Stegostoma tigrinum: one gene and its partner. The main gene of each other region encodes a partner of the protein of the gene in region 2 in a complex. Links are inferred from orthologs where the notes say so. Each region holds a gene or a part of one and is shown on either strand. Other genes may lie near its edges.

Region 1 (3,919 bases), on a different chromosome or scaffold from region 2:
ATTGCTCAAACATCTTCCAAAATATCGATTCCATGTGGTCAAGCAATCCCTTAAATGAGCAAATGGATTGCAAAGAATCAAGTAATGATCAAAATAACTTAAAGGCAAAGGCTAAATACCTGAAAGGCTTGATAACAATCACCGTCTTATCAAATATTCAATTTATCCCAATTTCATATCCACAAACAACATGAAAACTTCACCTTTTTCTATGCCAAGTGGATCTTCTTGAGGAGTAAATGTAACATAACACAAGAAACCAGAAGGGAATAAAGTGGCAATGACCAGGCACATATTCCTGATTTAAAGAATTTCATATTTCCTAAAAAAAACCTACTTCATCTTTAGAAAATTGAGATTGATCGTGAAACTGGAACTTAATAGCTGAATTATTTTTCCACTACTGTTGGTAGATTTGGTTAATGTTACCACCAATACATGAAAATGAAGTTTTGAAGCTGCTACACTAATGCAATATCAATACATTCACATTTAATCTGCTCTGTACTTGGGAAAAGATCTCTAGTTTCTCCACTGGCTGATAATTTTGTCAACCCATGTATTTTATACCAAGTCTTTTCTGCAAAGATGCCTTATTTCAACAGCGATGTAAAATGAACATCCAATTCACTTTGCCAGGTTAACCTAAAAGATCTAACTGCATTATTCCACAAACAAGTTCTACCAGCCTGAAACAAATGATTTATAAATTATGAAATGTTTATTTATTGTTTCAAATTATGGCCTTAATAAACTTTGCGCAGAAAACACTGACTACTAACTTGCCAAGTAAAATTTTAGGTTTGTATGCCATCAGTTCTAAAATAATGAAATCATATATGAACATTCTCATTACGTATATAAGACATTGTTGCAGTTGAAAAATACTTTTAAACTGTTGAATTTATTTCTCAATGTCATCTTTTAGAAGTAGGTTCATTCTTTCCTTAACTATACTCCACTTAGATGAGTGCTGATTTCTTCCCGAATCTTTGACGAAATGTACAAAAAGACAGTAAATACAGTATAGCAGTTAGAAGTACTAATTCTAAATATTAATTTCACCTCACACCCCAAAAAAGCAGCAATTGGGCAGTTTTATATCGAAGCAGTTGTTCATGTTTTGCAGATGTACAATGTTAACATTTCAAGTTGATGGCTCGTCATCAAAACTCAGAATGAGGAGCCTGATAAAAAGGTCATTGACTTGAAGTGCAGGGCAAAATCTGAACTGTGGTAAGTTATTCTCACTTTCATGCTCCTGCTTTTTGCTAGTTCCCACATGATTACAATTCAAACAAAGTGCCAGTGGTGTGCATAGGGAACCTGCAAGATCATGCAATGGGGGAATCTTTACAGTTGTCAAAGCCCTCATCTGCTGGTAATTTAAAAGATACAAATGAGCTATAAAAGAGCTTCCTGGACAGCAAGGTCCTCCATCATGACCACAACTTGATTTATCAAGAGCAGAAAGGTGGCTTTCTCCTAATTCACTCATCCCAGAAAACATGTTTCACATTTTTACACACTCCACAAAATTCATTACACCCCATTAACATTGTTGCTCTCTCCACAGATGCTGCCTGGCATGCTCATGATTTCCAGCATTTTGTTTTTAACTCAGTCATTTTAGATTTATTGACATTTCTAAGCTGCATGCATTTAACTAAGTCTAGACCCCTGACTTTGCAAATCTGATATTTAATAATTATTTTATTGCTTGAAATAATACAGTATATTTAATGAGGATAGTTTACACTCCTCTGAATTTAATTACATTCTGAATAACTAGGGCACCAAAGTAGGCCACACAACTAGCCACATAACTTTATATCACCACAGCAAATGGCTGCATAGACATGTTTTCTTTTAAATCCTTTAGGTTAATAACACAATCAATCATTTACAGTCTTACCAGCATCCCAAAACAGCTCGCACAAAATGAATTAATTTTACAGTCTTTATCTTGTAGCTAAGAAATTAGAAATAGTTTTCCTTATTCTTTGGTATTGGTAGAAAGGAAATATTTGTCAGGGTCCAAAGAAAATTATTCAGTCCTCTTCAGATATCACCAAGGGGGTCTTTCATATCAAACTGAATAAAGCAGGGGCCATTCGACATGTCAAGGATACATCCCCTTCAGTAAACTCCAGCACCGTATTGAAGGGGTGCTGCCTTAAGTTTGAATCCCATTATGATGAAGGCTTGCTTCACGATAGTAAAGGGGAAGCCTCGTCACCTAACCTCTCCATGAAATCATCAACTGCAAAATCAATATTTGCTTTCACGACCTCATTCTTCCGGTATGCGGTGTCAAGCCTGGTTTCGAGAGAGTCTCAGTAATCACGGACGCAACGTGTAGTATATTTCCTCGTATCACTGTGGATTCATGAAACAATACAAACTCGAATAGCAATTACCTCGATGGCTGAGTGCTGCGGAACGTTTGTGTGCACAGGATACAATGACTCCAGAGTCATTCAGTAGGTCCTCTACCTGGATCACCTCACTGTTATAGGCACATCGGAGAGTTCACTTCACTCCTCATTGGCGCACTCGCGGCTTTTAATTAATACTGAACATCAATCGACCAGAAAGGAGCTCCCTACATTACAAACAAAAAAAAACTGGCTTAGCCCAAGCCTTTGCCCCCTCATACGCCGTGGCCCAGAGTACCTCACCCTACCTCATAAACCAGATCCAATATCTGCTGCCCTAGGCCGACATGCCACCTGCTACCTTCCTAAATTGCTTCAGAACACACTCTTACCCAGATTCCGTTCAGGTCGACCGCCCACTCCCGCGCCCCACCACCGTGAATACAAACCGCTGGATACTCCGATGCTATCGGATAGGCCCAAGCCTCTCCCCCTTTCCACCGCCGCTTCGGATCAGCCGAACCACGGCCACGCGCGCACACGAACAAAACAAATGCTCGCTCCTCTGTTATGACGCATTAGGGCCGTCTGCGTGCGTGCGCGCGCCCCACAACCTATGGTGGTCACGTGCTGGTGCAGACCCATTCAGACTACGATGAGAGATATTGGGAACTGCCGATGATGGAGAATCCGATATAACAAAGTCTGAAGCTGGCTGAACACAGCAGGCCAAGCAGCATCTCAGGAGCACAAAAGCTGACGTTTCGGGCCTAGACCCTTCTAGGCCCGAAACGTCAGCTTTTGTGCTCCTGAGAAGCTGCTTGGCCTGCTGTGTTCATCCAGCTCCACGCTTTGTTATCTCGGATTCTCCAGCATTTACAGTTCCCATTATCTCTGATACAATTACTGAGGACACCTGATCGGCATAGTCCACAGCAGCCCAGAACTCCTCCCCTCAAGCAATTCGATAGCCTCATATACACCTGTAATCCGGCAATTCAGAGGCTGAAGCCTTGAGTCACTGGACCTGAAACGTTAACTCTGATTTTCTCTTCACAGACGCTGCCAGACCTGCTGAGCGTTTCCAGCAACTTTTGTTCGGACTCCATGATGTCTGGATTAAGGTACTGTTTTAAGTCTAGTTCATTGTTCTTTTACAGTTGAGGTGTGAATTGGATTTTCTAACTGAACAATGGTTCTACGCAGTTTGATCGGCATTGTCCGCAGCAGCCCAGAACTCAAGCAATCTGATAGTCTCAGCCTGCGAATTGCCGGATTACAGGTGCACGTGAAACTATTGGATTGCTTGAGACCAGGAGTTCTGAGCTGCTGTGGACAATACCGATCAGATGTCCTCACTACATTGGGCATTGATTAATCGGTCCAGGCAGCGTCCCTCTGAATGTTTTGAAGAAGGGTCACTGGACACGAAACATTAACTCTGTTTTCTCCTTCATAGATGCTACCAGATCAGCTAAGCTTTTCCAGCAACTTTGTTTTTGTTAATGTCCCTGTGACTGTGTATTTCCCCAGAGCAGAGC
Region 2 (3,919 bases):
AAAAGGGTGGAACCAGGACAAGCAGGAATAGTTTACCATTGTTACAGTTGAGACTTTGCCAAGAGATTAAAACTGGTGCTCTCAGTAAAATAACATCAATTCAGGAGGCAATAACACACTCAGGAGGGGAAAGGAAGGCTGAGGAAGGGGAGTAGAAGGAGGGTCTCATTGTCTTGACAACAAAACTACTATTTAATAATGAGATATTGGCTGCATTTATAAATGTTGGATAAAGTAACAAGATGATAAACATGGTCCTGGTGATGGGTGTTAGTACAAAACAATCAAAAGCATCAATACTTATTGCTGTACAGGACAGTGGACCATCAGTTTACATAAATCTAAATGGCTCATGATGAGGACAGTAATTGATTTTTGTGGGACTTTAATATGTCATTCTCATAGAGCAAAGGAAAAGTTCACGATTATGTATCAAATACATGTATTTTGAATTAGAATTTGAAAGAATAAAAGCAATAAGAAGTCAAAGTATCAATGAAGTATTTGTTTCTCAGCTGTAGTTTCAATTGTTTGACAACAGACTAGCATCTTCATTTGGCAAAAATGTAGCATTTTAAAACTTGCAACATTTGGAGGAACCTTCACACATAAAACAAAATGCTGGTCACATTTTTACCACCTAATCTGTGCAGAAACCTGATCATCCTACCAAACACAAAAAAAGGGAGGCAAAGAAAAATAACAGTCACCAATTTGCAATCGCAATGGGGCACAAAGAAATTGGCTACTCATAAATCAAACAATACCATCAGAACTATATTTGTGTTAAAACAAATATATGGTGGGGGCAGCGAAGAAACACCCAACATTCCATTAAAGCAAGGCACAAAAGAAATTTGTCAATACAGGGTGCGGGAAGGAAGAAAGTTAGAAATTGTTAAGGATAATGAAAAGGTGTGCTTATGACTGCAACTGCATAGGGAACATTTATATCTTTCAAATGCTTAACATCATTTTGAATAACGACTAACCATCTCATGGGAAGAAAGGTGTGTTTGACAGAATAGCCAAAGCATCACTTAAGATTAATTTTCATCAAATTAAAAATGAAATTTCAAGCCTTCCATTCAAAATGCAATCATTTCACAGTAGAGTAATTAGTGAAGTGAGATTAATGTAGATCCTATTTTTAGGAGTTAAAAAAATCAAGACATGATTTCAAAAGTAAATAAATAAGTTTTGAAAAACTAATATTTTAAGCCTTGTTGTAAATACGTTTAAACAAAATAACCGGATTTCCATGGAGGATATTACATTCAAAATTTACAATGGAAAAAGTAATTGCTAATTGGCACTACAATAATTTACTGGCAAGCGTCAGCTCAGAATGGAATGATGCTCTTTTTAGTTACGAGAAAGCGATTAAAAACAACCCTCATAATAATAAAACATGATGTGAAGCAGCGAGGTACATGAGCCACTCCAGTGTAAAAATACAGGACGAGGTTTGGGCCTAGCTGATCTCATGGAAAACTAAATTATTCAAAGAGTTCAACTCAGCCGTCCTCTCTGTTCAAGCTGAGGAATTCAGTGACATTTACCAAACCTTCTCACCTGCTGGTGGCTTAATTTCTCTCCCTCGATGGTTATAATTAACTGCCGTGAAGTCCCTGTGTTTCAGCTCAGATGCCACTCCACAGCGTCTCCTCAGTAACACGCAAATCCATGATGCGCGCTCCCGCTCACTTGGGTTAACCACCCACCGTTGGCGCGCGCCCGGATTAACGTCGCCCTTACACACGCACGCTCCCAGGTAAGCACGGCGCCCCCAAACTGCGCGGCCCCGGCCCCGACACAAACTCCACCCAGCGTAGCCGCACGCTCCCCCTATTAACTCCGCCCCCGTCTGCCCCTCTCATTTCGCACCACACGCTTTCCACTTCAACCCCGCCCACCGTCCGCGCGCTCCGGGTTAACACTATTGCGCCACCATCCAACCTACCCTTCTCCAGCTCCAAGATGATAAAATGTGAGGCTGGATGAACACAGCAGGCCAAGCAGCATCTCAGGAGCACAAAAGCTGACGTTTCGGGCCTAGACCCTTCATCATGTAATCTCTTCTCCAGCTCCACCTCCCTCTATTTACACCAGGATCCCTCCCCCTTCTTACCTCATTCCCAGTTCTGTGAAGGGTTTCAGCCCGAAACATGGACTTTCCTGTTGCTCTGATGCTGACTTACCCGCTGTGCTTTTTCCAGCTCCACATCTATTGGCTGTGGCTTTCAGCGTCTACAGTCCTTCCGGTCTCCAATCCGCTGCCCCACAGGTCAACCCCTCCCATCGTTCGCAGATAGCACGCCCCGGGCTAACTTCGCCCATCTCCCGCAGGCTTCGGGGTTAGCCCCACCCACATCCCCATGCCTCGCCTGATGTGCGGAATAAGAAGCATGAAGCTAGTGTTAGACTTGTTCCTTATTTTGCCTTTTTGCACGTGTTGTTCACTTAGTCGATAGTTTGTAAAGAACGCTGAGCAACGTAAGACAGACTCATCAATTAAAAAAGATAGGAGAAAAAAATGACAGCATCACCCACATAAAAACTAAAGCAACTTGCACTTGATACAAAGCACTGTAATTCATGGAAAAGTACAGCACATGGAGGCCGTTCAGCTTATTAAGTCTTCAACAGCTCCTACAGAGTACAATCTACATGGCACTCAGGAAATCTTACACGGTCAGTGTTACCAACATTTAGGCTGATATGTGAACTGAAATCGGCCATACAGCTGTCCCCCTGCCAGCACTCCTCAGCAATGTTTCTTTCCCAACCAACATATACAACAGATTTCCCGTTGGCGTATACACTAATGTTTGTGGGAGGTTTGTGTATAAAAAAACTGCCACATTTCTTACAAGAGTGGCAGCGCTTCAAAACTATCGTCTTTGAATTGGTTTGAGATATCCATTTGATGACCAAAATTATTGTCAAATGGAATGAGCTTTGAAGAAAAGAATATCAGCAAAGTTGCTGAAGGGAAATCCAAAGAGCTAAATTCATTATTGCCAGAGATAGTATGAACTGCCAATGCTGGAGAGTCTGAGACAATACGGTGTAGAGCTGGAGGAACACAGCAGGCCAAGCCGCATCAGAGGAGCAGGAAAGCTGACGTTTCTTCAGAAATGGGGGCGGGGAAGGGGATTCTGAAATAAATAGGGGGGGAAGGCAGATAGAAGTGGAGAGGAGATAGAAAGGTCAAAGAGGTGGGGATGGAGCCAGTGAAGATTGATGTAGGTGGGGAGTTAGAGAGGGGACAGGTCGGTCCAGGGAGGACGGACAGGTCAAGGAGGGGGCATGAGGTTCGTGGGTAGGAGAGGGGGGTGGGGTTTGAGGTGGGAGGAATGGTTGGGGAGGCGGGGACTAGCTGGGCTGGTTTTGGGATGCGGTCAGGGGAGGAGAGATTTTGAAGCTTGTGAAGTCTACATTGATATCCTTGGGTTGCAGGGTTCCCAAGCAAACAAAACATCAGCTTTTGTGCTCCTAAGATGCTGCTTGGCCTGCTGTGTTCATCCAGCTCCACACTTTGTTATATGATAATAAAATGTGAGGCTGGATGAACACAGCAGGCCAAGCAGCATCTCAGGAGCACAAAAGCTGACGTTTCGGGCCTAGACCCTTCATCAGAGAGCTCTCTGATGAAGGGTCTAGGCCCGAAACGTCAGCTTTTGTGCTCCTGAGATGCTGCTTGGCCTGCTGTGTTCATCCAGCCTCACATTTTATTATCTTGGAATCTCCAGCATCTGCAGTTCCCATTATCTCTCCACACTTTGTTATGTCGAATTCTCCAGCATCTGCAGTTCCCATTATATCTGAGATGCTGTTCGTGCAGCTTTCGGGTGGCGTCGTTGTGGCAATGCAGGAGGCCCAGGATGGACACGTCGTCCTGGGAGGGGGAGGTGAA

The links.
Region 1: the proteins of scap (region 2) and insig2 are in contact, whole or in part, in a cryo-EM structure (PDB 7ETW), measured with the Homo sapiens proteins. The link is inferred for Stegostoma tigrinum from reciprocal best matches to the Homo sapiens genes SCAP and INSIG2. Residues at the interface, in NP_036367.2 of Homo sapiens: Pro200, Ser206, Val282, Ala283, Glu284, Ile286, Pro287, Thr290, Ile294, Ala297, Tyr298, Phe301, Lys305, Tyr351, Val354, Val355, Glu359, Thr409, Leu410, Val411, Ser638, Tyr639; in NP_001308258.1 of Homo sapiens: Phe41, Val45, Leu48, Leu49, Ile51, Val55, Leu57, Phe58, Pro59, Val62, Ser65, Ile66, Glu104, Trp105, Ser106, Met109, Arg110, Val112, Ala113, Val114, Val116, Gly117, His120, Gln132.

The regions. Positions count from the first base shown.
Region 1 is NC_081360.1:68,366,696-68,370,614, forward strand, and holds the start of insig2 (insulin-induced gene 2 protein), read right to left. Parts: upstream 2,941-3,919; 5' UTR 2,828-2,940; intron 2,606-2,827; 5' UTR 2,421-2,605; intron 2,397-2,420; exon of another isoform or gene 1,916-2,396; intron 1-1,915. UniProt on the Homo sapiens protein: Oxysterol-binding protein that mediates feedback control of cholesterol synthesis by controlling both endoplasmic reticulum to Golgi transport of SCAP and degradation of HMGCR.
Region 2 is NC_081358.1:98,290,741-98,294,659, reverse strand, and holds the start of scap (sterol regulatory element-binding protein cleavage-activating protein), read right to left. Parts: upstream 2,295-3,919; 5' UTR 2,202-2,294; intron 2,190-2,201; exon of another isoform or gene 1,964-2,189; intron 1,797-1,963; exon of another isoform or gene 1,576-1,796; intron 1-1,575. UniProt on the Homo sapiens protein: Escort protein required for cholesterol as well as lipid homeostasis.